Notamacropus eugenii: one gene and its partners. The protein of the gene in region 3 interacts with the protein of the main gene of each other region in a biochemical or structural test. Links are inferred from orthologs where the notes say so. Each region holds a gene or a part of one and is shown on either strand. Other genes may lie near its edges.

The links.
Region 1: the proteins of IKBKG (region 3) and IRAK1 form a complex in vitro, tested with the Homo sapiens proteins (3 studies listed by BioGRID). The link is inferred for Notamacropus eugenii from reciprocal best matches to the Homo sapiens genes IKBKG and IRAK1.
Region 2: the proteins of IKBKG (region 3) and SENP2 form a complex in vitro, tested with the Homo sapiens proteins (2 studies listed by BioGRID and IntAct, with this or other methods). The link is inferred for Notamacropus eugenii from reciprocal best matches to the Homo sapiens genes IKBKG and SENP2.
Region 4: the proteins of IKBKG (region 3) and CYLD form a complex in vitro, tested with the Homo sapiens proteins (3 studies listed by BioGRID, with this or other methods). The link is inferred for Notamacropus eugenii from reciprocal best matches to the Homo sapiens genes IKBKG and CYLD.

The regions. Positions count from the first base shown.
Region 1 is NC_092879.1:22,992,208-22,999,472, reverse strand, and holds the start of IRAK1 (interleukin-1 receptor-associated kinase 1), read left to right. Parts: upstream 1-3,825; 5' UTR 3,826-3,969; coding exon 3,970-4,105; intron 4,106-5,817; coding exon 5,818-5,985; intron 5,986-6,505; coding exon 6,506-6,664; intron 6,665-7,242; coding exon 7,243-7,265.
Region 2 is NC_092873.1:55,939,815-55,948,111, reverse strand, and holds the start of SENP2 (sentrin-specific protease 2), read left to right. Parts: upstream 1-5,255; 5' UTR 5,256-5,288; coding exon 5,289-5,680; intron 5,681-7,594; coding exon 7,595-7,638; intron 7,639-8,297. UniProt on the Homo sapiens protein: Protease that catalyzes two essential functions in the SUMO pathway.
Region 3 is NC_092879.1:10,232,765-10,240,825, forward strand, and holds the start of IKBKG (NF-kappa-B essential modulator), read left to right. Parts: upstream 1-4,767; 5' UTR 4,768-5,029; intron 5,030-8,061. Other genes in the region: G6PD (glucose-6-phosphate 1-dehydrogenase), read right to left, coding at 2,247-2,374, 3,963-4,233. UniProt on the Homo sapiens protein: Regulatory subunit of the IKK core complex which phosphorylates inhibitors of NF-kappa-B thus leading to the dissociation of the inhibitor/NF-kappa-B complex and ultimately the degradation of the inhibitor.
Region 4 is NC_092872.1:465,962,722-465,970,476, forward strand, and holds the start of CYLD (ubiquitin carboxyl-terminal hydrolase CYLD), read left to right. Parts: upstream 1-4,655; 5' UTR 4,656-4,813; intron 4,814-5,663; 5' UTR 5,664-5,742; intron 5,743-7,755. UniProt on the Homo sapiens protein: Deubiquitinase that specifically cleaves 'Lys-63'- and linear 'Met-1'-linked polyubiquitin chains and is involved in NF-kappa-B activation and TNF-alpha-induced necroptosis.

The DNA of each region.
Region 1 (7,265 bases), about 13 Mb from region 3:
GACCAGGGTTCTGGAGTCATTCACAGCAGTTTGCCTTTACAATTCAATTGTTACTAAGTGAAGGGTTTGGAGATTTTGGTTTGGGTTTTTTTGTTTGTTTGTTTTTAAGAAAGGGGATCATCTAGGCATATTTCATAGGGAAGGAACCAGTGGATAAGGAGAATTCAAAAATGAAGGCATGACCAAAAGGGCCATCTCTGAGGAGAAGGGGAATGTAATGGAATCCAGGGGATAAGCAGAAAGGGGACAGTGTGTTGAGTGTGGGGATGTGTTCTCCCTTGTTACACACATGCATTACATATAAAAGCACACAGTCTTTTCAAGAGAAAATGAACAGAAACATGTCAGACCCCATGTGGGTGCAGTGAGGTATTTTGCCATAAGGTTAGCCTCTGCTGCCATTAGAAAGGAAAGAGGTACTGAGAGCTGGAAGAGAAAGAAGTAGTTAGAGCCTAAAAGAAACGCATCTTTAACACCTTCTCTTTGCTATTCCTGAGAGTGAGCAAAGCTTTGCAGCTTTGTCAACAAGCACCAGGTAGTATAGTGTAGTGGATGGGGGGGGGGGTAAGAAGGTGTCAAGAAAACCAGGTTTCAAGACCAAATGTGTCACTGGAGGGCAAGTCTCAGCCTCTCAGTGTCCCCAGCAGCCCCCTAACACCAGCAATGGCTGAGCAGGTGCCTGTCACTGCCCTCATCACTGCTCCCAAACTGACTTTCTCACACATGCTCCATCTCCTATTGTAATCCCTGGCTTTCCTCAAGACTGGGTTCAAGTGAGGCCTTCCCCTCTGAGATCACCTGCCATCTGCCCCATATGTACCTCAGTATGTGTGTTTTGTGTGCCCCATTAGAATATACACTTCTGGAAAACGAGGACTGTCCATGGTGTTTCTTCACATCCTCAGCTTATCACAGGGTCTGGCACAGAGTAATCACTTAAATGCTTGCTGATTCATTGATAAGTGTTTTTTATACCAATGACATTGCAAGCCTGCCATCCCAAACGTTTGAGGTTCTGTCCCTAGAACTGGGCATAACATAGCTCAAAGCCCCATATTCTCTGCCCTCCAGGAGCTTTGCCATTCTAATGGAGCTGCGTCTGGAGGAGTTTCTGTTCTGCTACCTCACAGTGCTTGGTGCTTTTAGATTTGCCAAGCATTTTACTGACATCATCTCATTTGAATGGCACAATGATCCTGGGAGGTAAGTGCTATGATTATCCCTTTTTTACAGATTCAGAAACTGAGGCTCAGCAAGGAGGGAGAGTTTGGGGTCTTTGCCTTCACCTCCTCTATTTGCTTTGGTCCTCCTCCTTCTGTAAGGGCCTAGTAGTCAGTCCCTGGGCCCCGCCCCAGCCCCCCCCCCCCTTGTCCTCTTTTCCATTATCTCCTCAGTAATTTCCTGTTCCTCCTACTCCCCTAGCCCTTTTACAATTAATTCAACCACCTTAGGTTTTCCCCCTCCCACCCTACTGTCCTTCCTGCCGGAAAGATCAACTTTGGCCCACTGAGTGAACCTGCTGGGCGATTTAAGGGGTTGGGGCCACTTTAATGGGTCCCACTATTTACTTTTATGGGCCAAGGTGCTAGGTGCCCTTCCTAGTCACCTTTCTTTTACCTAACACACAGGGAATGGTTTCTTGACCTGGGTGCTGCCTGCCCCTACCCTCCCCGACTCTAGCTTGTGCTGTGGTTGTTTGACCTAGTTGTCAGCTGAACCACACTGGTAAGCTGCTTCTCCCCCTTGCTGGAGCAGGCAATGGGTAGCCTCAGCCTGACCCTAATCCTGAGATTGCCAATTCTGACCCCCTTCCCAAACTCATTCTAGTAGGTCCTTTTGGCCCTTCTTCACCTAGCTTTTCCCTCCCTTGTGACTTGCTCTGGATCCAAAAGGGTTGGAGGGGAGAGGAGACCACACCCCAAAATGGTGGGACCCTGTCCCCTAGGAGCTGATGAACAGCACAGACCATGAGGCTTTGAGGCTGAAGTGAAGTGGATATCTTTCTGGAAGAGTCTATAAGAGGAGAGGATGGGGGACAGGGTGGGTAGCTAGGAACCAGGTGAGAATGACTGTTTATGTGGGGACAAAGACTGAATGGCGTAGCCAAAGCAGAGGATACACCCTCTCCATTTACAAATGGGCAAATTAGAGCTGAATTGACCAAGGTCACATGGCTAGTAAGAGCCAGAGCTAGGTCACATCTAGATTTTCTGACTCCAGGTCCAACATTCAGCACAGGTTAAGGATGGAAACGTACATTTGGACCAGATAGTGGAGAGCCTTGAGTTGCCACTGAAGTTAGATGACTTGAATATTTTTATTTTTTTGAAAGTTAGGATTAAATGTTCTCCCTCTCGCCTTACCCCAGCATAAAATGCTTTTGGAATCCAGTAAATTGTTTCCCCTGTTGACCGAAAGATTTCTGAGAGAAATGGAGGGGGGAAAGGAATTCTCTCACTTGTCTCTAACAGCAGCCCCCTCCCTACAACATACCCAACAGGGCCTGGATCCTAGTGGATTAGGGAATGTCACTTGATGGGGGCAGATACCAAGCTCCTCTACCCTCAGGCTAAGCCCTTAGGGCTGATGGGATGGTGAGAGATCCCCTTACAATTCCAGGCCTTCTCTCACCTTAGATTTGGGGTCTCCCAAACTTCCCTATCTCACTTGTTTTACAAATGAAAGAAACAAAGACAGGGGAAATAAAACACCAGGTGGAATTTTTGAACCTGGACCCTTTGACTTTAAAAAGTCTGTGCTCTTTTTACTGAACATCTCAAGGCTTCAGACCCATTCATACAGAGATAACAATGTACATCGTCTCATATTCAATGCATGGTAGTGATTGGCCTCTGCTACCTGTGGCCAGGTCCTGTGTGGTCCCAGCATCCTACATCAGCAGAGTTGGGAGCACATAGTTCCAAAATGTCATAAATATAAAAGGCACAGGAAACAGCTCCAGGTGTTCTTAAATTGGAGTCTATGAGTTAACTAGGTGAGTTTATTTTTTTTTTAATATACTGATGATTGCATTTCAGTATAATCAGGTTCCTTTGTAATTCCTATGGATTTTATTTTATGCAATTTAAGAATAGGATTCTAAGAAGGGGTCTATGTTTAAGAGTCTGTGATCTAACCTAATCCTCTTATTTTTAAAGAATGATGCAAAGCTCCCCCCTCCCACTGCCTCTCCATTGAATAAAAAAAATAAAAAACATCATAAATATGTGTGTTCCAGTAGAAGTAATTCCCACATTGGCCATGCCCCGAAATGCTGCTCTGCGTTTCAAGATCATCACCTCTCTGGCGGGTGGGTGACTGATGCCAACTCTCTCATTTTACAGAAACAGAACTGAGGCCAGAGAGGCAAGGGACTTGCCCAAGACCACACAGCAAGTTAGTCGCAGAGCCAGACCCTAGAGGCCAACTCTGGCTAGTTCACTTTCCACTGGCCCATGCAATCGTGCCCTCCTCCTGGCGGCATTAGATGGCAAGCAGGATTCCCCTAGGCTGACCCGCCTCAGCCATTGGCCGGGATGCCTGAGGCCGGAAGGCGGCTGGAAGACTTCCAACCTTTCCGGGCTCCAAAGGAGGGGGAAGAGAGGGAAGGGGGAGGAGTGGAGGAAGAGAAAAAGGGCAGGCATTTTCCCCAGGCCACGCCCAGCAGACGTCCCCACCGTTCGCCCCGCCCCCCAGCCTCGCCCGACGTGGCGGCCCCAGAGGAAGGCGGGAGCGAGAGGGGGCAGCCTTTTCCTCCTCCTCTCCTCATCCCCGCCCCCGCCAGCATCAGGACGTTTAAAGGGATCCATTTAAAGGGGAAGTGACTCATTTTTCATAGGCTCGCCTGGCCCGGCCTGGTTCTGGAGCCCCGGGGCTCGCTCGCTTGTTGGCCAGCCTTCGCCTTCGTCTTGGCCTTGGCCTTGGCCTCGGCGTCGGCGGGCTAGGAGGCGCCGGCCGCGCGGGAGGATCATGGCCGAGGGGGCGGGCCCGAGGAGATCTGGGGATTCCGTTTCCCAGCGTTTCGTATACGAGGTGCCGGCCTGGATCATGTGTCGCTTCTACCAAGTGATGGATTCCCTGGAGTCGACCGACTGGTACAAGTTCGGTGAGGAGGCGGGGGAAGGGGGCATGGCCAGGGAGTCGCGCTGGGGCCGCGGGCCAGCCCGAAGGAGAGGGGAAGTGGCCCCGGGCGGGAAGCTGGGGCCCCCCTCCCCCAGCCCAGCCCTGGGCACCGGGATAGGAAAGGGCCCGAAGGCTGAGAATGGCCCGTGCGCTCCGGGGAACCCCTTCCATCTGCTTCCGCCCCTGGTCGTCAACCTTGGGGCTGCCGCTCCCCCCCGTTAGCCACCTTCCTTTCTGTCCCAGGCCACCCGTGCCCTCTGTGTGATCGGCGTACCAGGGAGACGAGATAGGGAGAATCATGAGACACCTCAAGAGCGTAGGATAGAGGGTTGACCCCACTGTCTCTCCTGACACTACCCCCACTCCAGATGCAGGCCCTCTTTCCCTCACTCCTGGACTATTGTAATAACTGCTGGGGAGGCAGGGGAGTAGAGGGGCAAGGGGATCTGCCTGCCTCAAGCCTGTCCCCACCTCAGTCCACCATCCATTCAGGCACCAAAGTGATTTTCCTATAAAGTTCAGGTCTTATTATGTCACACACACACACACACATTTCCACCCCCCACTCCCTGAAATAAACTCCAGGGGCTCCCAATTGTCCCCAGCAACAAATACAAAATGAGGAAACTGAGTCTGAGAGGCATTAAGTGACTTGCCTAAGGTCTTACAACTACTAAGTGTGTGAATTCCATCAGGTCTTCCAGACCCCAAGTCCAGCACCCTATCCAATACTCCATCATTTTTCTTAGAGATCATCTAATCTAAGCCTCTCACCTGACAGCGGGGGAAACTGAGACCTAGAGAGGTAACCCAGAAGGGGCCACTTTCCCAGAGGGACAGGTAGGAAAGCAATTCAAGCTCAGGACCTCTAGAGATTGGCTGCCCAGAGGCTACCACTTTCTTGTTGGTAAATTCATGAACCCTAAACTTAATAACTGTAGGTCCTTGCAGAAAAAGGAAAGCTTCCCTTTGCCCTCCCCCATCTATTCCCCCACTCTAAACTAGGACCGTGCAAGAGGGTTTGTATAGTCCAAAAGGACAATATCAGGCTCTTCTCTTGCCCCCACCCCAACACCTTGCCACCAAGAGTGAGGTCAAGAGGAAAAAGGGCCAATATTCAATGTGAGGAGAGTAAAGATAGCCAGAAACTGAGAGGGAGATGGCAAGAAGGCAGAAAAGAACCTACTGGGGAAGCAATCAGGCCAAGGAAGCCACTTTGGCCTATTCTCCCTCCCACCAACCAATTTGTTCCCAGAAGCTTTTCAAATTCTTTCTTGCAGGTGATTTGGGGCTATGGGAACAAATGGGATTGAGAACTGAAAGAGACTAGTGATTATTTAGTCCAGCTCCCTCATTTTTCAATGAGGAAACTGAGGCTCAGAAAAGGTGAAGTGACTTGCCCGTGGTCACACAGTGAAGTTAGTGGCAGAGCCAGTATTAGAACTCCAGTCCTGTGACTCAAAACTCAGGGTTCCTTGTCCATGGGCAGATGCAAGGTGTGAGTGACTTAGGACAGGGCCAGCACTGGCTTCATGCCACAGCAGGGATTGTGGTCAGAGCGAGGGCTGGGGAAGGCCTGGTGGGATGTCACCAAAGCCAACAGCCAAGCCCCAACCTGCTTCTGTCCTTGACAAGATGGCCCAAGGACAGCTTTGACTAGACTGTGTGGAGGTGACCCGTTTTCTTGCTTGTCAGCATCCCTCATTGTTCAGGACCAGACAGAACTACGGCTGGGGGAGCGTTTTCATGATCGAACAGCCAGGATCATGTGGCCTTGGATTAACAAAAACGCACGGGTTGCTGACCTCCTTCATATCCTCACTCACCTACAACTGCTTCGAGCCCGAGACATCATCACCAGTTGTGAGCCTTCCCTTCAAACCCTAATCCCCCAATCTCCCCACATACATATACCCAACCCCACGTCTACTTGTAAGTGTCATCTGTCAGTGCCCAAACAAAACCCCTCCCTTCCTTCAAGTCCCCAGCTATCCCCTAGAGCTCCCCCTGTCCTAGGGGAACTTGAGGAAGAATAGTTGGATTGGGGAGGCTTCAGCAACAAAGAAGGCTGAGTTTCAATTCAAAGAACTAACCCCAGTCCTGGGCCCTAAAGTCCAAGGGACTTTCCCCCTGCCTCCCACACCCCAACCAGGCCCCAGCTGGGCTCCTAGAAATAGCATCCACCCCCCGGAGAGAGGATTTCCCTCACCCCACCCTTGTAAAGGGAGGCAGGTCTGTGTCTTTCCCCTTGGCCCCAAGAAGGTGATGGAGTGCAGGAGGAAAGCATGTTATCTCCCCCACATACCCCATATCATTCCCTGCTATCATTCTTGCTTTTTTAACAGTATCTTTGTGTCTTTTCCTTCCTTCCCTATACTTTTAGGGAATCCTGAACCCCCATCATTGCCCCCTGCTGCCTCATTAATGTGCACACCCACCCCTCCATGGCCCCCTCCTCACCCAAAGCCCACTAGCGTCCATAAGGAAGAGGGAGTCAGACCTCCCAAGGTGCCACAGTCTGCCTCGACCTTCCTTTCCCCAGGTAATGGGGCACTGTATTTGGGGAGGGGGAATCCAGAGTTTCTTGAAGGAAAGGGGTGAAACATTGACCCCCCCTTAATACCTCCTGGGCCAGCTGTCGTGGACAGGTGGGGAGGGGTCTCAAATCATGAGCTTAGGGTGAAGCCTCCTTCTGAAAAAGGAAAGGAGGGGTCCTTTCGGAGCCTTCCCTCCCTCTCAGATAACAGGCCCTAGTATGTCCTGGGCCAGCTGTGTTCCTAGAAAGCTGTATGTCCTTCAGATTTCTGTAAATTGGATTCTCTTTGAGGTGAAACTCAGGATCTGGCTTTGGGGAGACCTTTCTGGAATGCCAAATCCTTGTGTAAACAAGTAGAACAATCTCCCTTAGATTGATTTTTTATTTTTTGCTTCAAGCCCAAAGGCCTCTGACACTTATCGGCCCATCCAGTCCCTAAGAAAGGGGCAGAGGCCCCTGGGCCTGGGCATCAGACTGAAACTGGCAGGGTAAAGGGGGATGGGTGGCCAGGTTTGGTTGGGGAGGCCCTGATCTGGGATAACCCAATCACATTTTACTTTCTTCCCCTCACCAAACTCTTCCAGGTTTCCCCTCAGACTCCTGGCCC
Region 2 (8,297 bases), on a different chromosome or scaffold from region 3:
CCCTTTGAACAGTACTGCTATTAGTATATACAATGTTCTCTTGGTTCTGCTTATTTTACTCTTCATTATTTCAAGTCTTTCCATATTTTTCTAAAAATTGGCCTGCCCATCATTTCTTATAGCACAGTTATGCTCCATCACAAGCCCTCCCTGACACACCTCTGGTATGAAGTCTTGCTGAGCCATTTTCAGGGCTACTTATCACCTTTGGTGTCCACCTGGCACCCAATTCTCATCTGTGAATCCAGGAAGCTGTAGCATGAGTAGGGGCCAAAGGATAATTCATGAAATCCATGGGATGCCAATAAAACCACCTTGGCAGACAGGCAATTGACAGGCCTCAAACCTGTCAGTGAGTTGGGGGATGGGCAGATGAGGAGGATTTGTTCCAGTGGCCATGCAGGTGGCTGAAGCAGGTGCTGTGGAGCACTTAGAGCTTGGTCAGACATCAAAGATGCCAAGATCTTTCACTGCATCCCAGGCTATTGCCACTCATGTTGACTTTCATCTTGCCACTGGATTTCAATGACTCTGGAAGACAGGGGGTAATGACTGTGCAAATCTGCCTCACTTAAATCCAGTTCATGTGCAAGTCAAGGCATCACCCTATGAGGTCATTGATCCTCTCTGGAAACAAAGGGTGAACACCAACATTGCTTCTCCCCTCCTTGTTGGCCTCCTTGTTGTTCCTTGAATGATACAGCACATCCCCCAACAATGGGAATTTTCACTGACTGTCCCCCGTGCATGGAATGCTCTCCTTCCTACTTGACAAATTTTTTTTTTTGAGAAGTTAGACAACACTGTTTATTCAAAGTGTAAATAGACAGGTTCAAGGACACTGGTATTTGAGCCATTTAAAACACTCACACACACACACACACACACACACGCACACACATGCGAGCACCCTTCTAACAAAATAAAGCAAAAACTCTCCCATTGACCTAAGGGGAATGGGAAAAAACCCAGATATGAAAACTGAGCCAAACAAACAACTACAGAAAACTGACTTCTAACAAGATACATTCTCAAGTGCAGAAATAGAAGCCAGTCAATAGGTCAAAGAGAAAGTGGTCACTGCTGGGTCAAATAATGAAGCCTATCTCCTCACTCCTGACTTTCTTTGAATCCCAGTTAAGATATCACCTTCTACAGAAAGAATTTCCTTATTCCTCTCTATTCTAATGCCTCTCTCCTGTTGATTTTCCATGTACCCTGTATATAGCTCTTCTATACAAAGATATTTGTGTGTCGTTGCGTTAGATTATGAGCTCCTTCAGAGAAAGGACTGTCTTTGCCTTTGTATTGCCAGAGCTTAGCACAATGCCTGGCACATAGTAGGCACTTAATAAATATTAACTTATTGACTGACTTGGTGAAGTTAGAAATGAAAGATCTGACTAATTTTTTTTTGTTCTGTGTGTTTGGAAATGCTCCTATTTAACTTCGGAATAAAAAATAAAATGTTTAAAAAAGAATCACCTTACTATAATGAGGGCATAGTTCATGTAACATAAATTTGTTGCTAATCACCAGTCAGCACGGATTCTTTGGAAGATCTAACAACAGAAATAACCCTGTTCAATGAGCCTCTATTATTAACCATCTAACCAGACATCAGACAGGGAGATGTATACTGGATGAAGATATTTGTCACCATAATTGAGGGGATTCAGTGCATAATCCAGGGTAAAGAAGGATTCTCCACTGATGGTGAGGTCCAGTCCTCCAAACTCTCCTGTTTATAGATGACATTATGCTGATTGCATCAGGTCCCAAGATGCTGTGGAATCTGCAAGAGAGCTGTAATCACTGGAAGATGTTTGGTCCAGCCATTCACATAGGAAAGACCAACTAGATGAATGATATCTATTGCTCAAACTTCAACATGCATCTGAAGAGAACCCTACAGACCCTGTTGGATAGTGTGTCTATCTGGGGTAGGTCTTTCAAGGGGATGGTGAACTGGGCCCAGAGCTGAAAAGGAGGAAGTGAATGGGCTGGATTGCTTTCAAGAAATTGCAGAGCTCTTTTACAGAACCTAAATTTCTCATTATAGTAAAGACTCATCTTTTCAATACCAAGATTTTACTTGTGTTGTTCCATGGTAGAGAGCCTTGAAACAGAGGCCACTGTCTCTGAAAAACTAAAGATGAGAATGATGAGAACACAGAGAGAAACTGAGAGGTGTGTGATGGTGCAAGTAGGTTGTAACATGTAACCAACAAGGAACAAAGAATAATTGCATACTTTAAAGTGGTAGATTGAATTAGTCAGTCAGTGTCTACTATTAGGCATTGAGCTAAATACTGGGGATACAAAAAGAGGCAAAGGCCCTCAAAAAGCTGGTAATCTACTGGAAATAATGTCATTAGTATTATTAGGGCAGCTAGGTGGCACAGTGAATCAGAGCACTGGGCCTGGAGTCCGAAGACTGGAGTTCAAATCTGACCTCAGACACGAGCTGATCTTGGGCAAGTCACTTAACCCTGTTTGCCTCAGTTTTCTCTTCTGTAAAATGAGCTGAAGGAAATAGAAAACAACTCTAGTATCTTTGCCAAGAAAACCCCAGATAGGGTCACAATTAAATAACAATAACAAATTATTATTAGCAGTAGTAGTGAGTATCTGAGTATACATCAAAAGGAAAGGTCAATGCTGGCTGGACTAGTCAAGGAAGGTTAGAGATAGGATTTTGGCCTGGTCTTGAAAAATGGGATAAGATTAGGAGAGTCAAAAGACTGAAGGACTCCAACCAAGTGAACATAAATGAAGCCACTGGGCACTTGAACCTCGAGTAAATTCATTTATCTCTCTGGGTCTTATTCTGAAGATGAGAGGGTTGGACTAGACAATTCCTACCTTCGGGTTCTAAATCTATGTGTTGAAAACCCAGTATCAACAATATATGTATCTGTAAGGCACCGTGAGCACTAGCTTGGTAAGGATAGAGGCTGAAATCAAAAGATAGGACAAATGACTGAGGAATTGATTAGTGCGTGAGCTTTCTAGTTTTTTGTCCCTTATGTGTTGTTTTTTTTTGCATCAGAAAAAATAGCAATATTTGTTAGTGTCTAGTAAACACTAACAAAGTAATGCATTAGGGTTGCAGCTAGAATTCAGCTTGCTGAATTTATTAGTTTTGCCCTTCTCCCCTCATACTTTTTGCTTAAATTTTATTGAAATTTAAATATTTATTCCCCAAATGATAAATGGTCAAAGGATATGAACAGGCAGTTTTCAGAGGAAGAAATTAAAGCTATCTATAGTCATATGAAAAATGCTCTAAATCACTCATAATTAGAGAGACACAAATCAAAACAACTCTGAGGTACCGCATCACACTTATCAGATTGGCTAACATGACAAAACAGGAAGAGGATAAATGTTGGAGAAGATGTGGGAGAACTGGGACACATTCATTGTTGGTGGAGACATGAGCTGATCCAACCACTCTGGAGAGCAATTTGGAATTAAGCCCAAAGGGCTACAAAAATGTGCATACTCTTTGACACAGCAATATTGTCTCTAGGACTGTATCCCCAAGAGATCATAGAAATGGGAAAGGGTCCCACATGTACAAAAACATTTATAGCAGCTCTCTTTGTGGTGGCCAAAAATTGGAAATCAAGGGGATACCCATCCACTGGAGAATGGCTGAGTAAATTGTGGTATATGAATGTAATGGAATACTACTGTGCTATAAAAATGATGAACAGGAAGACTTCAGAGAGGCCTGGAAAGACTTATATGATCTGATGCTGAGTGAAAGGAGCAGAACCAGGAGAACTTTGTGCACAGCAACGACCACAGCGTGTGAGGAATTTTCCTGGTGGACTTAGCCCTGCACAGCAATGCAAGGACCTAGAAAATTCCCAGTGGTCTCTTGAGGCAAAATGCCTTCCACATCCAGAGAAAGAACTATGGAATTGGATCGCAGAATGAAGCAGACCATTTTCTCTTGTATTATGTTTTGTTTTAAGATTTCTCCCATTCATTTTAATTCTTCTATGCAACATGACTAAGGTGAAAATGTATTTAATAAGAATGTACGTGTAGAACCTAAATAAGACTGCACACCATCTGGTGTGGGACGGAGTGGGGAAAGATGGGGGGAAGAAGGGGGAAAACCTAAGACATAGGGAAGTGGTTGTAGAAAATGGAAAACAAATCAAATAACTTAAAACATTTAAATATTTAACTTAATTGACTAATTTTAATTTTCAATCGCTAGCGTTCCCTCCGATTAGCTCCAGTTTATCCTGACCATTTGCACTTGGTTGTTTGCATGGGGTCTCTCCCACCAGCCTGTGAGCTCCCTGGGGGCAAGGACTGTCTTTTGCCTTTCTTTGTATCTCCTTCACTTAGAACAGTGCCTAGCTCCTAGTAGTTACTTAATGTAATTGGCCTCTACAAGCAGAATCTGACTTCTGACAAATAGATATTTTGTATCAGTCTTATTTTTATTTAAAAAAATTTGGAGAGGAACAGTGGTAGTGATGGGATAGACCACTATCTAAAAAAAAAGTTACAAACCCCGCATCGCTCTTAAAGTCACCATGTGTAGACTCCCGACAACGGCGATCCCTGCGGCGGGGGCTGGAGGAGCTCCGTAAGGGGGTGTCAGGGAGGCCTGTGCAGGTGGCCTCGGGGGGATGGGCAGGGAGCCCCCTCCCCCCCAAGGGTTCCAGCGGGGCCTGGGGGCCACTCTGGGGGATCTGCTGCAGGGATGAAGCTTCATTCATCCATCCTGGGTCAGGTGACCTCTGAAGTGCCCACGGAGGGGGGGGGGGCAGGCATCTCCTCGGTGCGGTGGTGAGACCCCTCCCTGGAGGTATTTCAGCAGAGGATCACTCTAGGGGAGGCCGCATAGGCAATGGCGCATGCGCAGGCCCAGCCCGCCCCAGACGCCTCTGCGAGGGGAGCCGGGCACGAACGGTCACGGGTCTTACGGCCAACGGCTCCGTGCACAGCCCGCCCGGGCCTAACCGTGGCCCACGCCCGCGCCCGCCAGGGCCCTCGGGCTCCGTTCTCCCGAAAGAGAGCGTTAGGGTGTGGCGTGGGGAGCGGTGTCGCGTTCCGTGCCTCGCGGCGCAGGATTGGCGGAAGGGCGGCGATAGCTCCGCCCCCGAACCAGCTTGGCCCGTCCGGGCCTGAGCTGCTGGGCAAAGCCGCGTTCGGAGGGTCTCCGTCGAGCTGGGGCGGGGCGGGACGGGGGCCTCTGCGCATGCGCCAGTGCACCCGGGCGGCGGCTGCGCGATTGGCGGAAGGGGGTAGTGACGTTAATGACCGGCGCCCACGCCGTGGGGACGCGCTTCCGGTGGGCGCCGCGGCGGTGTCACAAGTCTGCGACGTTGCCGTGGTGGGGCTGCTCGCGTCTGAGGCTGAGGCTGAGGCTGCGGCGGCGGCGGCCTGGTCGGCAGCGGCGGCGGCGGCGGCGGCTGCGGGGGCTGCAGGGGCTGCGGGGCCTGCGGGAGCTGCGGCGGGGCCCGTGGCAGTGGCGGCTGCGGCTGCGGTTCCGGGCGCCGGCTCTAGGCCCGTGTCGGCCTTCGCGGTTGCCGCGCCGGCCTGGTATGTACAGATGGCTGATTAGTGTCCTCCACTCCATCTTCCGGAGGCCACAAGATCGCCCCGGGCCCGCAGCGCAGCCCCAGCTCAAGAGGCGTCTCTCGGACAGGTGAGGAGGACGGGCGGGGCCGCGATCCACCGGGAGGCGGCTGCCTAGGGCGGCCTGAGGGCGGGGCTCCGGCCTCCATTTGTGCTTCCATCGGGAGAGGCCTGGCTCGATGGGCTGCGGGGCCGCGGCGCGGCCGCTTCCTCCTCTTGTAAACGGGGCGTCGGGCTCGATGAAGCCAGGCCGGGGTCCGGTGCTGCCCGGCGCGAGGCGGGAACGGGGGCGGGCCTTGCGGACATGCCGATCCTGCAGTGGATACGCGGGCAGGGCTTGCACCGCACTCGGCCCTCGTTCGGTGCGCGGTAAACCTTTGGTATCCCGGCCACCTCTGCCTTTGGCATTCTTAGGGGTTAGGTGCTTGAGCGGATCTGCAGATACAGAGTACCCAGGGAGAGGGGGGTCAGACATAGAAACCGGGTATCTTAGTGGAAACCCCAAAAGAGTTGGCTTGTAAACCCCTCCAGAGCCATTGGCTCCTCACCGTAGCCCCGGCCAGTACGCTTAGTTGTTTCTCTTTGTTATTTTGTGAGGTGGACGCTGTGAGTATTTTGTACCGTGTTTCACTTTTGAGGAGACTGAGGCTCTTAAGAAGTTAGGGACTTCTCCAAGGCCACGTTGTTACAAATGTCACAACTGAGATCCTTGTGACTTCCCGTCGGCTCTTTGGAACTTAACCCTCAGCCTCTGCTCAGAATGAGCTTATTGTCCTCGCAGGGGCTTGTCTAGCTAGAGGGGAACTAGTAGGGGTCCTGTCTGGGGAAATGAGGGCTGGAGTGGAAACGAACTCATGTAGAAGGCACCGTTTCATTTTAGATTTAGGGAGCCCAAGCGTGTGCTGCTTCACGTTCCATTTCTCTTTCCCCTTCTGTCCGGCTTCTGCTATGTTTATGCACTTACCATGAGACGTTTTGTAGTCATTTGTCTTATACCACCTGCGTCTGTAGAGTAGAGGTTCTTCACGTGGGGTCTGTGAACCAAATAGGCGGTGCTGGTAACGTTATTGTCATCAGCGTTGTTGTTTGGATGGCTGCGGGTCAGTGTGGTTGGTGTCCTTTGTAAGCCTCTGTGGTTTATTTTGTACATTTAAAAACAATATTCTGAAGAGGATTCCATAGGCTTCCCTTGCCTGCTGCCAGAGGCTTCTGGCGCACAAAACAAGTTAGGACCCTCCTGATGGTGACCCCCATGATGGGCCAGACAGCGTTATTTAATGTTTGATCTCCACCATCTCCTTGCCTGGCTTTGTGTTTAGCAGGCCTTCGTTGAGTATGGATTAACCTAAAGCCCATGGACAGAGTGGGATGTTTGTTCTGTGTCCAAAGTCCCTGTATTTTTATTGACGAAATCTTAAGATTGCTGAGGGGGGAAAAGGAGGTTTGTAGGTGGGGAGTCAGGGCATTCCTGATGTTATTTGTGGGCCTCACTTATGTCTTCAAAAGCCACAGGGAGAGGATTAATATTGCCCTCCTAAAATCCCCGAAGTACCTGGTGTTGAGGCACTGACATGCTGCTCAAATGGGTGAGACTGTAAACCCCTGTTTGGTGAGCACTGTTCCATAAATAGTTAGAGTATTTGAAGTGCTGAGATTTTCAACATAAATGAGCTTTTTTCAATATAAGCTGTTTTCCAAGTGAAAAGATCTGGTTGTTTAGTTAATTTTCTGTTGCATGTGATTATTTTCAGTGTTGTTGAAAACCTTTAACTGGCTCAAATGTCTAAATTACAATGCAATTTCCTGTGTATGAACCGAAATGATTGATAATATGTTGTTCTGTCTCAGAACATTTATTGGAACCCAACCAATAATAAAGTGGGAGTGGAGGAATGATGGAATAATTTGGTATATTTGTACATAATGGAGCGTTTATGCCTGACAAGGTAATGATGGTGCTTTTCTGGTTGTTTTTTTTTCTCAGCGCTCCAGCCACTGATGAAGTCCAAGCCAAAAGACCACGATTAGGTACTCAACGTTTACTTTAAACTCTCTGTGTGCTGTTGTCGTAGCAGACGTAGTAATAGTTGTTGTAGTACCTGCAGTAGTAGGTGGTGGGTGTTGTTGTAGAACTAGTAGAAGAAGAAATAGAAGGAAGGACAGAAGGAGAAGAAAGAGAAAAGAAAGAAAAGAAACTTGTTGTTTAGGAGAAAATGTTGTAAGCTACACCAACAACTGAGTGTTGTGGATTGTTTGGAGGCTGAAGTCCCCCTCCAGATCCTTTCCTCAAGCCCAGGGAGGTCTCACAAGCTATAAAGGCTTGAGTCCTCACCTGATCCAACATTGCAGGGAGTCATTACTAGTTAATGGTTTGATATTTGTTTGGCCATAGATGTTCATGAAACCATCTATATAATAGGAAGGGATGAGAGGTCCCTTTGGTGCAGAGAGCACCCATATCATGTGTGGATCTTTAGTGTTGGCCCCCATTTCTCTTTGTCCCAGAGAGCATTACAGACAGATGTCTTTAAATGGAAAATGTTACGATATAAGCCTTACTGAGATAGGCAACTTGGTATAATAGGCAGGGCTGGGGAACCTGCGGCCTTAAGGCCACATGTGGCCCTTTAAGTTCTCAAGTGTGGCCCTTTGACTGAATTCAGAATTCACTGAACAACAAATCCTTT
Region 3 (8,061 bases):
TGACCTTCTGGAATACAAGGACTTTCCAGCCAGTTCTCGATTAAGGTAAGTAGACTGATCTACAGACCACCCATGGCTCTGTGGGTCCTGCCACTGCTGCCAGCCCAGGAGTTGAACTGGTGTAACTGGTTTTACTGTAAAGTGAGAACTATCTTTTGGGGGCTCTTTATCCTAGTGCTTAGTGAATGATGCTTGACATTGAAAAAGCCCTTCCCAATCCCCAAGAAGCCCCTTATCAGCCCAGGTTGCCCTCTCTACCCTGATTTTGAGGGGAAAAACAAAAGGCTCTAGCCTGGGAAGCTAGAAACCTGCCTAACACTTGCCAGCCTCATTAGACATTTTTCTCCTTAACTCTAGTTGAGTCAAAGTGGCTGTCTTCCTGCTCCACTCTGCATCTTTCCATCCATGCCTTTGGATTCCCCAAGCCTTCTCTGCCTCTTAGAATCTCTCTACTTCCTTGAAGCCTCAGCCTAAACACCATCTTCTCCATGGAGACTTTCCTGGTCCCTACAACTGTTAGGATCCCCCCTTCATCTCTATACTTTCTTATATTCATTTGGTGTACACACACACACACACACACACACACACACACACACACACACACACACACACACAGAGTCTTCTCGGACCTAAATTCCCTGGAAGCAGGGACTGGTTCTCTCTTGCCCTTATATCCCCTATATGTCTGACATCCTATAGACTCTTAATAACTGCTTGGAGGACTGAAGCACTCCTGGGAGTGGAAAGTTGTGGGCATGGACTTGGAGAGATTTTGGGGGCTACACGGAGTACTTTCAATGGATTCCTTTGGGACCACAGAGGTTCCCATTGAAATAATATTATTTTACTTATATGAAATGGGTCAATAGATAGCAAGACCTTGGACTGACAAAGGTTGGGAAACAGTGACTTACAGGAACAGAGGTACTTGAAACCAAGAAGGGCATGGTGAAAGCCAGGGAAAGAGAAGGAAAGGCTTCTCTTTACTCTTGCCCTCTTCTGCCAACTCATTCCACTCTCTGCACACTCCATAAGCTACTAATGGCCCTCAGGAAGCACCACTTTGTCATTTCAGAGTGCAAAATCCCCAATGCCCTGGCCCGGCTGGAGGGACCCAGCATTGGTGAGGAAGGATTAGGGTTGGAAAGGGCTGAGTTTGAATTCCACCTCAGGCCTTTACCTTGGGGATCAGAGCTCTCAATCAGAAATGCCAGCATGGTTAGGAGGCCCATAGAAGCACTGAGAAAGGTAGAAAAGTGTTTGGCAAACCTTGTAGCACTCTGGAAATGCCAACGAGCATTACCAAACTTGAAGAACAAATGATCCTAGAGCAGGTCTGGGGTGATAAGTGCAAGTTTAAGCCCAAACCCTGAATTCTAAATGAAACTTGGTGAAGAGGACACTGGGGAACAGGGGCTTCTAACCCCTGGTACAGGGGTGGGGCTTTCCTTCCAAGTCTCCAATCAGTTAATTTAGAAGAGTATTCCTTTCAGCACCCCAGAAACAAACCAACAACCAACCCAAACCATGATGACATTCCTTTGAAGGACTTCAAACACCCCTGGGGTCACAGGGCTCAGTCAGAGGGAAATAGTGGGGTATTTAGTAACCCTTAAGGGGCCCCAAAAAAGCCCCTTATCAGTCTATTCAAACCAGGCCTGGAGAAGACTGAGCCAGGTTAGATGAAGAAATTACAAAGATAAGCAAGATAACCACTCAGTTGATAAGCAAGAATGACCCACGACCTTTCCGACACCATTTGCCCTCAAGAAAGTCTCACCAGCCTTAGGGAGTAGCCTTCCCTCCTTCCCCTATTACCAGCCTCTCCACAAGTTGTCCTCTACACCCTGATTTTGAGGGGAAAAACAAAAAGCTCTAGCCTGGGAAGCTGGAAACCTGCCTAACACTAACTTGCTCTTGACATCAGGGGGTAAAAAAATCACGTTAGTAATTTGGGTTTTATTTTCCTCATCTATAAAATGAGGGTGATAATCACTGCCCTGACGCCAGGACAAGAAATCAGGAGAAACAAGATAGTATGAAAATAATCTTCAACAGAGGGCCCAAAGAACAGAACAGAAGGAACTGGGCCTTTGGAGATACTGGGAGACCGAGGACTTATGCTGAGCAGAAGCTGTGAGGTGAGTGCGCAGGTAGGAACAGAGAATCTGGAGCCAGAAGTGGGGTGAGTCCCAGCTCCTTCATACTACAAACGAGGAAAGTTGAGGCCCAGAGTGACTCACCGAGGCTCCCATGATGATGAATATGTGTGTGTCTGACTGGTGGAAGGCATCACCCTGGTACAATTCTTCCCGGAGAATTCCACACACTTGGGTCCGGCTCAGTGCCACCTGCTCTGCCATGTTGTTTTCTAGAGGAATGAAAGGATTGTGAGGGAGCTCTGGCAAAGAGAGAGTTGGAAGGTCATTGCCCCTCCCCCTAAGAGGGACAAGTGAACTCCCCAGGCAGCCCAGATTTCAAGTGGTATCTCCAAGAAGCAATTACCAGTTCAGAGTTTAGGAGAAGGGATAAAAAACGTTAGGTTTCTGATGCCTTGAGGGTATCTGAGGAGGCTTCCAGCAGTCACATTTTGTACCTGTTAAGCCCATTTTAAATATCCTACGTTTGGTCAGGATACTCAATGGCTAAGTCTGGGGATCAAAGTGGTGTTCCCCCCCCCCCCCTTCTTTCCAAAGTGGATGTCTGGAGGATGAGTTCAAGCTGGAGCCTCTCATCTGGGATTCTAGTTCAAGGTGTTCATAGCTTGAGGGGCAGGATCACAGGTGGGGGTTAATGTCGACTAGAAAATCAGGACCTAAGCAGGAACATTATTAATTCACTGATCTTCCTTCTGCTTTGAAGATAATGGGTCCCAGTCTCAGGCAGAATGCTAATTAGCTCCTTTATCCTCTTGCTTTGAAGATGATAGGGGTGGGGGTGGGGGTGGGGGTGGTAGGGAGTAGGGGGCGGGGTGGGGGAGGGGCCTAGTTCTGACTCAGTCACTGTCTGTGACCCTGGACAAGTTTATTTCTCTTGGAGTCCAAAGTTGCTTCCCTTTTAAGGGAGCTAGACTGACTGATCTGTACATTTCCATCCAGCTTGTATATTTTTTGCCATATGACCAGTATAACCAAGCACAAAATATTATTTCTTCTTGGCCTTTTCTGATGTCTCTCCTATTTCTAAAACTGGCCTGTCCCAGTCCTCACAGTCACTACTTTGGAAAATCCTCAGGATGCAACATTATCTGGCATCTGCATCAGCAAGGCACTGGACTGTGGAAGAAGACTGTTGCAGGTGCGTGGTTGTTTTGTTTTTAAAAAGAAGTCTCAAGGGAGAACCTAGAGCAAAAAGACAACCTTCTCCGCAAGGGGTTATGCCACTACCACCAGGGTCCAAATCCAGCTAACTGCAGTTCAGCCAGACCCCTGCCACAGGTTCGATTGTTGCTACCTGTTGGGGCTTGTTTCAACTTCCCTAGGACCTCAGTGGGATCTGATCTCCCTCAGCGGATGGTTCCGAAGGGTTAGAGGTTCTCCCTGATAGGTAGGTAGGAGAAGCAGAGTATTTCCAGTAGTCAGTTTGATCACATGCCTAAGCTAAAACCCCTTAGGGGATATAGAGGAAACTTTCCTTTAGATCTAGGCCCCCAGAGACAATCTACAAGGGGCAAGAAAGCCAGGCCAGGGCTGAGATGGGAAAGAGTACAGTATCTTATCTGAACAGGAAGGTCATCAATCAATGCAGAAACAGCCTTCTGACCAGGGTTCGGAGGAAGGAGATGAGGGAGGATGCTTGGGTAAAGAGGATCAAAGAGCCTGGAGACTAAGTCGAAGGAGGGAACTGCAGAGGCTTAAGAGAAAGGCTATTAGGATGGAGAGCTCAGGACAGAGGCCAGGATGCAGGGCGGGGCTGAGGATGGAGGAGGTTGGGGTTGGGCAGGCCGGGGGCCTCCTCACCAGTCTTCGCCTCCGGATCCTGGGTCACTTGCTGATCCGGCAGAGGAAGGGAGACGACCGGGCCCGCTGCTGCGCTCGGGTTAATGCCTCGTCTGCCCGAGTGCAGTTCGGCTACACTCGCCCGACTCCCCATCTCCTCCCCCTGGCCCAGCCCCGTTGGCCCCTGACTCCGCCCCGGCCCTCCCTGCTCCCCCGGCTTTGGCTCCGATCCAGACCTGGGATTCCGCACCTCGCGCTTCAGGCGCAGGAGAGCCCGCCTCCTCAGCGACATCTCTCTCTCCCACCCCCACGTGGCCTCGCCCGGCTCGCCGCTTCCGCCTGCGACGTGGCCACGCCCCCCGAGCCGGCCATGGGCCCGCCCTTCTCAGATCACGCTCCCTGTTCTTCTCGCCAAGCCGAGGTCTCCCATCTCTAGCCGGAAGCCCCGCCCCTTTGCTTATTTTCCCCCCCCCCCCCCCCCCCTCAAGAACTCCGCCCCTCGTTCCTCTCACTCCTCCTAGTTTTCTGATACCGGCCTGGAGTGGGGAGGGGAACTGATAAAGTGCATAGTCAGGGGCACTTAAGGTGACAGAAGAGATCGTTCCGAAACTAGGAGGAGGAAGCAGATGCTCTAGAAGATAGCTTAGTGCCTAGGATTTCTTTCTAGACCTAAGTGGGCCCTGGCACGGGAAACACAGGGTAAATTTCCCCCCACCCCCGCCAAAGGCGTTATTGGTTCAGTCCTCGCTCCCTGGAGGTCGGAGACAGCCAGAGGAAGGGGCGGAGACAGTCTGAGGGACTCCGAAGCTTTCACTTTTGCACTTCCGGGTTGCCGCAGCCCTCCGGCACAATCCGGAAGTGGGTGTTGGGTGGGGAGGAGTCGCTGAGGAGTCCGGGCTTCGGAGCCGTCGGCTGGGACCCGAGCTGGCGGATTCTTGGGGGGGGCCTCCGTCGCTACCTTCGGTGTAGTTTTCGCGGCTGCGTCCGTGGCGTGTGGACTCAGGCTCGGCCCGGCCGGGCCTGGCGGCTCCCCGGGCCCCGGTGGGGCCGAAGCTGAAGCCTGAAGGCCCGAGTCTCCGGCCTCCGGGGTGAGTCGGACGCCCAGGCCCCGCCCCTTGGGCCCCGCCCCCGCCCATGGCGGCCCCGCCCCTTAGCCCCTTCCCGCCGCCTGTCCCTTCACTCTGCTCTGCCATGTTCAGCCTCTCCTGCCTCATCTGGGCCACCGCTGCCGTCCGAGGTTTTGGGGTTGGCCTCAGGGTAACTGACTCCCCATTGGCCCAATTTCTCTCCCCTTCCCCCCGTCGCCGCCGCCCCCGCCCAGTCATTCTTCGTAATTCTGGGAGAGGGGAGAATGTGAAGGAAAAGAGCAGGTTTTTTTTTGCCACCATCTTTCTAGACTTCTGATGGGATTCCCACTTAACGGTGTGAGTCCGGGCAAGTTCCTGAACCTCTGATGTTTCATCTGTAAAATGGGTATGACAATAATGGACGCTACCTCCTAAGTTTGTTTTGGGGATCAGATGCCACAACTTGTGGAAAACTATGTAATTGTGAGCTCATTAATGGTGATAATAACGGGATAAGGCTGTGGCACTAAGGGGGCACCCTTCTCTGGAGTCATCGAAGTGGCACTGCCATGCCATTGGACTTGGAGGGTCTGGAAAACCCGAGTTCAAGTATCGCCTTAGACACTGGCTAGTGTGTGACTCAGGCAAGTCACTTAACCTCCGTTTGCCGTAGTTTCTTCATCTGTCAAATGAGAATAATAGCACTTATCTCCTGGAGTTGTTGTGAAGATCAAACGGGATAATAATTGTAAAGGTGACTGACACATAGTAAGCACTATGTCAATTTTAGTTAGCTGCTAACTTTCCACTTCATCTTTTCAGACCAATGCAGGGTTAGAGCTGGAAAGGACCTTGCCCACTAGATCATAAGGTCCTTGAAGGCAGAAGACTGTCTTTTGCCTCTTTGTATCCTCAGGTTAGCATGGTTCCTGGCTCATTGGTATTCATTTATGTTCTGTTCTTTTTGGCCAGGATACCGGAATGGTTTGCCATTTCCTTCTCCAGTGGATTAAGACAAAAGTGACTTGCCTCTGTTTCCTCTTCTGTAAAATGAGCTGGAAAAGGAAATAGCAACCACTCCAGTATCTTTGCCAAGAAAACCCCAAGTAGGATCATGGAGAGTGGGACATGACTGAAAAACTACTGAACAACAACAGCTTCTTGGCTCCAGACCTAGCGCTCTATGCACTGAGCCACCTAGCTACTTCCACATACTCTGTATAGCTTGGCCCATAGTAGGTGATTAATAAATGTTTATTGATTAATTGATTGAAAATGATATAATTTGTAGTATAATTTAGGGATGCTTTGGACTCAATCTGCCTAAGTTTGCTCACAGAATTTCACAGTTGGAAGGAGCCTCAGGAGCCACCTAGTTCTGCCCCTGTCCAGTAGAAATCCTGTCTAATATAGCTGGTCATCCAACCTCAGCTTGAAGATCTCCAGTAAGGGGAAACCCACCATTTGGGACACTTAACACAGGACCAAGCACATAGGCATTTCATAAAGAAATACTTGTTAACTTCCTGGGGTAGCTCCAGCCATTAGGAAATTTTTCCTGACACTGAGCTTGCTTCTGCACTCTGGGACCAAATAGCCCCCATAGAATTTCTCTTCCTGAGCTCAGCTATCTTCCTTGCCCCTCAGGCTTTTTTCCTTGGGCTAAGCATTCCTAGTTCTTTCAGCCTGTGATGATATGATATGATGGGGAAACTCTAGGCCTTTTGCCATCCTGGTTGCTTTCCTTCTTAACAATGCTGTCCTTAAATAGGTACGCCAAATGCAATACTCCTTGTAGTGATTTGTACTTTTCATGCACATGCTGTCTTGTATCTAAGTCATTGGTAATAATAATCGCAGCTAACATTTTTAAAGTTTGCAAAGCACTTTAATACATATTATCTGATTTGATCCACACTACGATCCTTGGAGGCAGGTGCTGTTATTTCTATTTTACTATTGAGAAAACTGAGAGGTTGGAAAAGTGACATGCCTGGGATCACCCAGCTAAGGAATCCTCATAGAATTCCAACTCAGGTCTTTCTTTGCTCCAGATCCAGGTCTTTATGCCCTGCGCCACCTAGAGGCCTAAAATTCTGTTTAACAGCATAGACCAAACATGGTTCTGGCCCACTCTACTGCTGATAGCCTGCCAAGTTGGCATCAGATTCACTGAACTGAGTCTAGCTGTTGAACCAGTTCTAAATCTTTCTTCTTGTATTGTCATTTAATTCATGTAGCTCTGTCTTTTCCACAAGAATAGCAGGAGATACGTCTTAAAACTCTTTATTAAAACCTAGGTAAACTATGTAGTATCCTCCCAATCAGTCTCATAACTGTCAAAAAAAAGCCTTGATGCTGACTTTTGGTAGCCCCCCTTCCCCATGCAACATGTAGATGTTCACTAAGCCTCTCTTTAGCGATGTGGGAGAATTTCCCTGAGGATGGGAGTCAAGTTCACTGGTATGTGTTTTTGCATGTTTTGTTCTCTTACCTTTTTGGAAAATTGAGGCATTTGCCTTATTTCAACTATACAGTGCTTCTCCTCTTTTCTCTGCTCTTTTGTTTGTCCACATCTGCCTGTTTTTATGATTGATGTGGACCAGGTGATGACTTCATTGGGGGTAACTAGGTACGCTCCCTTTGACTTCCTAGTAACTCATTTTGTCACCATTATTTTCCGAGAGAACAGGAGCAAAGAATCTGGCAGCTCTGCCTTCTCCTCTTCTTTGCAGAGGCAGGGTAGGGCAGCAGCAGCGGCTCAGAGGGGGGAAAAAACCACACATTTACATTATCTATGTTTCATTGTATTTTTATTTATTTTGTTAAACACGTCCCAATTACATGTAAATCTGTTTTCCTGCTGGGAGTGGGAGTGTTGCAGGACCTACTGGGTTTGATGCCTCTGGTCTTCACTCCAAGCATGGGTCTTGAGTTTCCTCTGATAGAGCTAAAAAGGCCTTTTTGTCACCCCTTGTTTTCCTGATCAACCTGACTATGAGATTTGGCCATTGAGAGATTATTGGATTTTTGGAAAGAGCAGTTTCAATTGA
Region 4 (7,755 bases), on a different chromosome or scaffold from region 3:
GGCTACAAAAATGTGCATACCCTTTGACCCAGCAATACTGCTTCTAGGACTGTATCCAAAGAGATCATAAAAATGAGAAAGGGTCCCACATGTACAAAAATATTTATCGCAGCCCTCTTTGTGTTGGTCAAGAACTGGAAATCAAGGGGATGCCCATCAATTGGGGAATGACTGAACAAGTTGTGGTATAAGAAATGATGAACAGGAAGACTTCAGAGAGACCTGAAAGGATCTATATGAACTGATACTGAGTGAAAGGAGAACAACCAGAAAAACTTTGTACACAGCAACAACCTTGGGAGGACTGTTTCTGATAGACTTAGCCCTTCACAGCAATGCAAGGACCTAAAAAATTCCCAATGGACTCTTAAGGCAAAATCCCTTCCCCATCCAGAGAAAGAACTGTGGAACTGGATTGCAGAATGAAACAGATCATTTTCTCTTGTGTTATGTTTTGTTTTGTTTTCATGGTTTCTCCCATTCATTTTAATTCTTTTATGCAACATGAATAGTGTGAAAATGTGTTTAATAAGAATGTATGTGTAGAACCTATATAAGATTGCACCCCGTCTCAGGGAGGAAGGAGGGAGGGAGGGAAAAAATGTAAGATATATGGAAGTGATTGTAGAAAACTGAAAACAAAATAAATTAATTTAAAAAAATTAAAAAACAGATTGAACTAAGAATAACAACAACAAAAAACACCTCTATCACACTTGCACAGTTATATAATGGTAAATGATATAAATATTTGTACTTAAATTATTAACATCCACTGCGACTGTGTAGTAAGATATAGGGATGAGGTGATGTAAACTTGTGAGGCTATTGTTGGCAATATGCCTTCTTTGTCTGTTGCCCTATAAAGCAGGTGGGCACTGGTCAGTGAATGGGAAACCCTTAGAGTTGAATGCACAAACTGGATTGATGTATGTGTGCCTTGACTGGCCCCCACTGAGGCTTGAGGAGATTTAGAGAAATGCACAAGCTGTGACTGTCTCAATTGACCCCATCAAGACATAGGGGTAGCAGCCCCCCTTCTTGCTGGCCCCTGAGAGAAGGGTGATTAGAGAATGCTGTAGGAGTTAGTGCTCCCATTATCAGCAACCTTGTGAGGAGACTAGACCTGAATAAAGTAAGATTATTAACCCCTTCAAAGCTTTCTTAGTGTCTTTATATGTCTGACCAGATCAAAAATGAACCTGTGCTAGTGGCCCTCCTGTGTGCTAGTGTGTATCTGTCTTACAGAAATTTGCTGCAAATATTTCCCACCCCTTCCCCCACTCCCCAATTTCCTGCCTCTAATTTTAGTTGGATTGGGTTTGTGGAAAAACTTTTAAATTTTATGTAATCAAATTGATCTCTTTTGCCACTTCTTTCTCTTGTTTGGTCATTAACATGACCAAAGCATCACCCTGTCCATAGATTTGACAGGTAATTTCTTCCATGATCCACTAACTTGCTTACCATGTCACCCTTTATGTCTAAATTATCTACCTATTTTCAGCTTATCTTGATATGGTATGAGAGGTTGGTCTATGCCTAGTTTCTGCCAGATTAATTTCCAGCTTTTCTAATAGTTTCTGTTGAATAATGAATTCTTGCTTCAATGTTGGGCATTCAGGTTTATGAAACACTAGATTACTGTGCTCATTTGCTTCTGTATATCATATGCCTGCTCTGTTCCACTGATCACTGATCAATTTCTATTGGCCAGGACCCACTCATGGCCAGCCTTGGCCTCAGTATCTGCATACCTCTTTGTTTCCCTCAGCATCACTGGGCTGGAAAAATGACTCACTGGAATTTTTTTTTTTAATGGCCTTGTGGCCTGGAATTCAGTTTGATCCTCTTCTAGAAGGTTGTGGAGGTATCTGGATGAACTAGCAAAAATACTTCCTCTTACTCTGCCATCTTGACTCCACCCTGTTTTGTAACCTTTTGATGACAAAGCTTTTGTTTTTGTTCTATAGCCTTGTTCTCTTTGAGGCAAGAATCTACATGAGATTATAAACTATAAATGAAGTTAGCAGATTGGAGTGTGTGTGTGTGTGTGTGTGTGTGCGTGTGTGTGTGTGTGTGTGTGTGTGTGAGGAGCACAGGACTTTTTACAGCAATCATTAATTCTTCATAGATAAGAGTAATCTTCTAAAGTAGCTTGATTTGAAATTATTCAGCATGGGAAAGTCATAGCTGAAAACCAAGTTTCAAAGTCCAGCAGGGATTCCCCAAAAGCATTCTAAGGCCTATGTACAAGATTGGGCGGATTAATCTCTCTGTGGTTACTGCTTTTAATATCCTCCAAAGAAGGAGTAGAGTTGAGGGTTCTCCTAAGGGTGAGTGGGCATTTGGAAAGAATAGTCAATCAGTCAATAATTATTAAGAAATTATTATATGCTTGACACTGTGCTAAAGTTCTGGGCATACAAGTAGGAAAAAGATAGTTCCTTCCCTAATCTAACAGGGGAAGACAATGCTGAATGGGGGTTAATGTACCGGGCATGGGAATGGTAGAGAAATCAAATCCAAAATGAGTGCAGTCAGAGAAGTCAAAGAAGTCCAACATGAGTACAGCTGGATAGGAAATGAGATGTCAGGATATTTCTCTCCTGTGTCCCCTCCAATGGAAGGGCAGTGGGTACTGGTGAGATGTGGGTGTCAAGGTTGATTTGTATCTGACAAGATGATGAGATTTCCCAATGAGTTTACTGGGGGGCATAGTAGGGAAGTCAAAGAAGTGTAAAATGAGTGTAGCCAGGTGGGAAATGAAGAGAGGTTTACACAGTCCAGAAAGGTTTCTGTTAATACTTATAAATTCTTGTGGAAAAAGAGCTCATATGAGACCTTTTCTCATTCACAAAATCCTGGTTGTCAAATGTTAAATGAAAATGGCACAGATTCTCATTCCAGAAATAAACCCCAAAACCTCTCTTGCCTTTTCTGAATGAAAATGAAGATTCTCAGTATTGTTATCATTAGGTATCAGTCTCTTAAATTCAATAGATTCTGCACAGGAAAAAAAAAAGACACAGGGATCTTACATCTTTTTAGGGAGCTGAGAATAGACAAAAAATTTGGAATCATGCATTTAACAATTTCCTCTTGGAGGATTGCCCATAGTTTTCTGTTACTCATTCTTTGCTGGGATTAAATGGCATAGCTAAATATTCTTGAGTTTCCCAGGTATAGCAATGGGAAGCTGAATGGTCATATACATTAAAATGAGTAGCTGTGGAGCATGTTTCATGAAAGCAGAAGATCCTCTACCATATACCTAGCTCTGTGCTAGGCACTGTGAAAAGAATACATAAGTAGAAGATACAGCCTTCTGCTGTTAGAGGAGCTGATCTTGTTAGGGAAATTCTATCATCAATAAAACAATTAGAGAATACCAGAGCACTTTGGGAATTGGAGTAACTGTTTAAAGATGAGTCTTGAATTGATCCCTAAAGGGGTCATGAAGGTCTGTGACAGCAGGTTCTTGAAGTCTATGCCAAGGGGGCACAAATGCCAACAGATAATATGAAATTAGAAAAGCTTCCAGCGTGGGTCTCACAATGGCATCCCTTCTGCGCCCCGGATGACGTACTGGGGAGGACTGTAGTACATGATAGCCATTCTGAGAGTAATTAGTTATTGGCACAGTGACACCCCTTTGTGCTTTTACCTCTCAGGATGAATCCCACAGACCCTTAGGAGTAAGTGGGAGAATTTTTCCACAGGGAGAATTTATGTCATGATTAAGACCTTTCCCCTCCCACATCCCTCCTTTGAGTATTATTCATCCTCTTTCATAATTGGTACTTAATTTGTTAGAGAAAGAATTAATTAACAAGAATCCAGTGTCCTGAGAGCCTTCACTACTAAGTTAAAAAATCACTTCCTTAAATATTTTTGAGCTCACGTGGGAATCAAAAACGTCTCTTCTAATTGAAAGATCCTTAACTAAACCATAAGCCCTGGCTGTTGGCCAGGAAGGATGAATTAAATGTGTGACAATACCTTATCCTCCTCAGTGCCCTAAATTGGACCCCACCTCCCAAGGACTAGTGGGTGACTGCTGGGATAGGAAGCCCCTTCCAGAAGGGGAAACTGAGGCACAGGGCTCAGAGGGACTGGGAAACTCGATGGTTCAGGGTTAAGGACAGAGTGGTTTTTCGGGACTCCGGGCTGCCTCCCAGGAGTCCGGACTCCCAGCTCAAGCTAGGGCGTGAGCCCTGGCCTCTCCCAAAGCTTATTAGCTCCCAAGGACCGTGGACCCTGCCCTACCCAGTTCAGTAAAGCGTTTTGACAGCTGAGGCCCAGAGGGACTGGGACCGGTAATGCTCCACCCCCTCCTTTCACACAGCCAATCATGGCTGTAGGCTTGCAGCCAGACAGTCAATCAGAGAGCGCTACGCCACTCTCCCCGTCCCCGCCCCCTCTCGCCTCTTCCTCTCTTAGCCCTCCCCCACCCCCACTTTGGCTCCACCGAGCTTGACGGAGCGGAAAGTCCCTTAGTACCGAGCTGGCCCAGCAGGCATTGGCGGAAAGGCCGTCACAAGAAGGACCAATCCTGGCGCGCGCTGGAACGCCGTTCGGGTTCCGATTGGCTCTCATGCCACTTCTCCCCACCCACTACCACTCCCTCCCTTCCTTTTCTCCGGCTTGGAGGCGGGGCAGGCGGGGGCGGGCCCAGGTATCGGGTTCGGTTGCGCGGGGCCGCGCGTCTCCCCGAGATAAATAGTCGGCTGTGGTGGCGACGACTTTTGGTCTCCGGAGTCGGGGGCCGCAGGATTGGGAGCCGGGCTTCAGCCCGGTCGGACCCGTTCAGGTGAGCGAATGGCGGGCGGCGCTGGCGCCTGTGGGCCGGGGTTGGGGAGGCAAGACTCGTCGGGCGCCTTCCCCTCACTCCTCCGACGCCCCCGGCCCCGCCGCCTGCCAAGTCAGTGCTCCCCGTCCCGGCCCGTTACCTGGGCCTCGCCGGCCCCGCCGACGTCACTCTCCGACCCCGCGGACTCACGCCGCTCCCAGCGAGGCCTGCCGGTCCCGGCCTCCGCCGGAGAGGGATCCTCAACTCCGACTAACGGCCGCGGCTCGTCCGGTGCCTGGGGCGGTGGTGCCCCCCCTCCCGGGGACTGTCGTAAATAGGAGCTCCTCCCCCTTAGGGGAGGGGGCGGTAAACTGAGGCACCGGGCTGCCATGGAGCCAGCGTCCACCTTCGGGACCCAGAGACTTGTAGATGGGCTCGAAGTACTGCTTAACTCCCTCCGGTGGGACAAGGGGAGATAGGGGCTGGTGGGAAGAGCACTGAGGATTAGATGTTCGTAGGATTTAGAGCTGGAAGAGACCACACGTCAGACCAAGGATCCCCAAACTTGGGGTTCACCAACCCTGAAGAGGTCCAAGGACAGATTTCAGGGAATCCGTGAATTTGAATGGGGAAAAAAATGACACCTTGGGTTTCACTAACCTAACTGAAATTATGAAAGTAGACAATAAAACCTTATTCTGATAAGGGTTTCTGTAGGGTTCACCAGACTGCCAAAGGGGGTCTATGACAAATAAAGGTTAAGAACTCTTGGTCGTGATCCCTTTACAAATGAGGTAGCTGAGGCCCAGGGAAGGAGAGGAGTACCCACCCTACTGCTGCTCTTGCTGATTTATTCTCCTTTCTGTTTCAGTTTGCCCATCCTCAGGCTGAGGATGCTGTTACACAACCACTTGGAGTTCTTTAGTTGAAAAATTCTCTGTGGACAGAAGGTATCTCTCTTTTTCCTTTAATAGTAAATGGTCTGGTGGTTAACATATATGGATCCAAATTGATCAGTACAATTTATTACACATCTACTATCTATATTCTAGGTACTGGGGATACAAAGTCTTTCAAAAAGTGAGACAGTCTCATATCTCAAGGAGGGCCTGCTATTAGGGGTATTTAGTATGTGTACAGATAAGTAAATATAGGGTAAATATAAAATGAGGGGGGAATAAGGTGACCTTGAAGGAGGTGACACTGAAAGGAGTCAGTCAGTAAGCATTTATAAAATGCTTATTATGTGTCAGGCAATGTGCTAAGCACTGGGAGTAGAGATTCAAGCAAAAAGAAAGACAGTCCCTTCTAGGAGTAGACTAAAAAAAACCGCATCCTGATGGGTAAGGACAATACATAAAAGGAAGCTGAAAAAGGGAGTGGTGCAAAGGAAGGTACCTGACTTGGAAGCAAGTTGGAGTCTAGATTTGCAGCCTGGGGAGAAATGAACTGAAGGAGCTAGCAGGTTCTGAGAGACACAGGAGAGAGGGCCTTTCAGGCATGAGGGGTAGCATGTATAAAGACACAGAGGTAGGAGATGAAATCTAGGTCTGTTTTGCTAGAATGTAGAATGAATAAAAGGGAAAATAATGTGATTAGCTTGGAAAAGTAGGCTAGAGCCAGATTGTAAAGGTCTTTAAATGGCAAACAGAGGAGTTTGTGTTTTATCCTAAAGGTAGTGGGGAGTCACTAAAGTTTCTTGGTTAGAAGAGTGACATGGCCAGACCTGACCTTTAGGATATTAATATGGCAGTGATGTGGAGGATGGAAATAAGAATTTTGAATTTGCATTCCAGAGAATGTTGCTCATGAGTGTTTGATATACGACATGTTCTTTGTACATGTGTACAACTCTTGTTGCTTTTGCATTTTTAAGATAGTTGATTGTTCTTATCCTAGTTCCCTTTCCCCCAAGTTCAGCTAAAAATAAACTCATTACCTTGCTTTTTGACTGAAAAGTCTGTGATATAATACGATTGTTAATTTTTTAGGCTGTGGTTTCTAGGGGGGAAAGAAGAAGTCCTTAATGTGTTTCAGGGACTGAGAGAGGGAATTTGTTCTAGTGTTACTTTTCTGCACCCCCTCACACCCTAGGTAGAAGTAATGGCTCTGAGTATTAGCCTGCTGTTCTTCAGTATATAGTGGGTGGATTTGCACTAGTACATTATCAGGAGAAAATGGTCTTGGAGAACTTATTGAAACCCATAACACTTATGTTCTGTTGCAAAATCCTGGAAAATCCCAGCAAATAACACATTCCCTTTGGTGGTAGCTCTTATAAGATTTGGTAAGACCAAGGCTCATGTTTTCTTTCATGTTTTTTAAAAAAATAAGGTTTTATTGGTGTCTTCTGTTTCATATCCTACTTCCCCTCCCAGAGGACCATTTCGTATAACAAATAGTAGTATTTTTTAGAGAGGAAAAAAAATCACAATTGTTAAATACATTTTAAGAAGTCTGATAACGTGCATCATGCTTTCTTTTAAAAAAATTATAATGTCTAATGATTTCAGTGATTTTATATGTCAAGACTGGACTTACATTTGTTGACAAGAAAGATGAGAGTGAAGAAGGGAGTATGAAGTTATTATCCTATCCATCACTTGATTAATGTTACCATTTTTTCTGATTTATACTGTATTCTGAGTCGTTTGGATTTTTGATATTGGCACACAATCTGTGCTATAAAAGGATTAAATGAAATGATCCTGAAAAATCACTTTAACATGGATGTCAACATTACATTTTTCCCCTCTAATATATGACAAGTAAAATAATATTGCTTCTTCCTTACACAGTAATAAAATGTGTAACATTAGTAGAACAGTAATTAGAATGATGACTTCACTCTTCACGTTTTTATTGCTATCAAATATAACTAATTTTGATGTACAAAACCACTGAAATCATTAGACATTATACTCAAATGAATCTGTGATATCGATTCAGAAATTCCCTTTAAT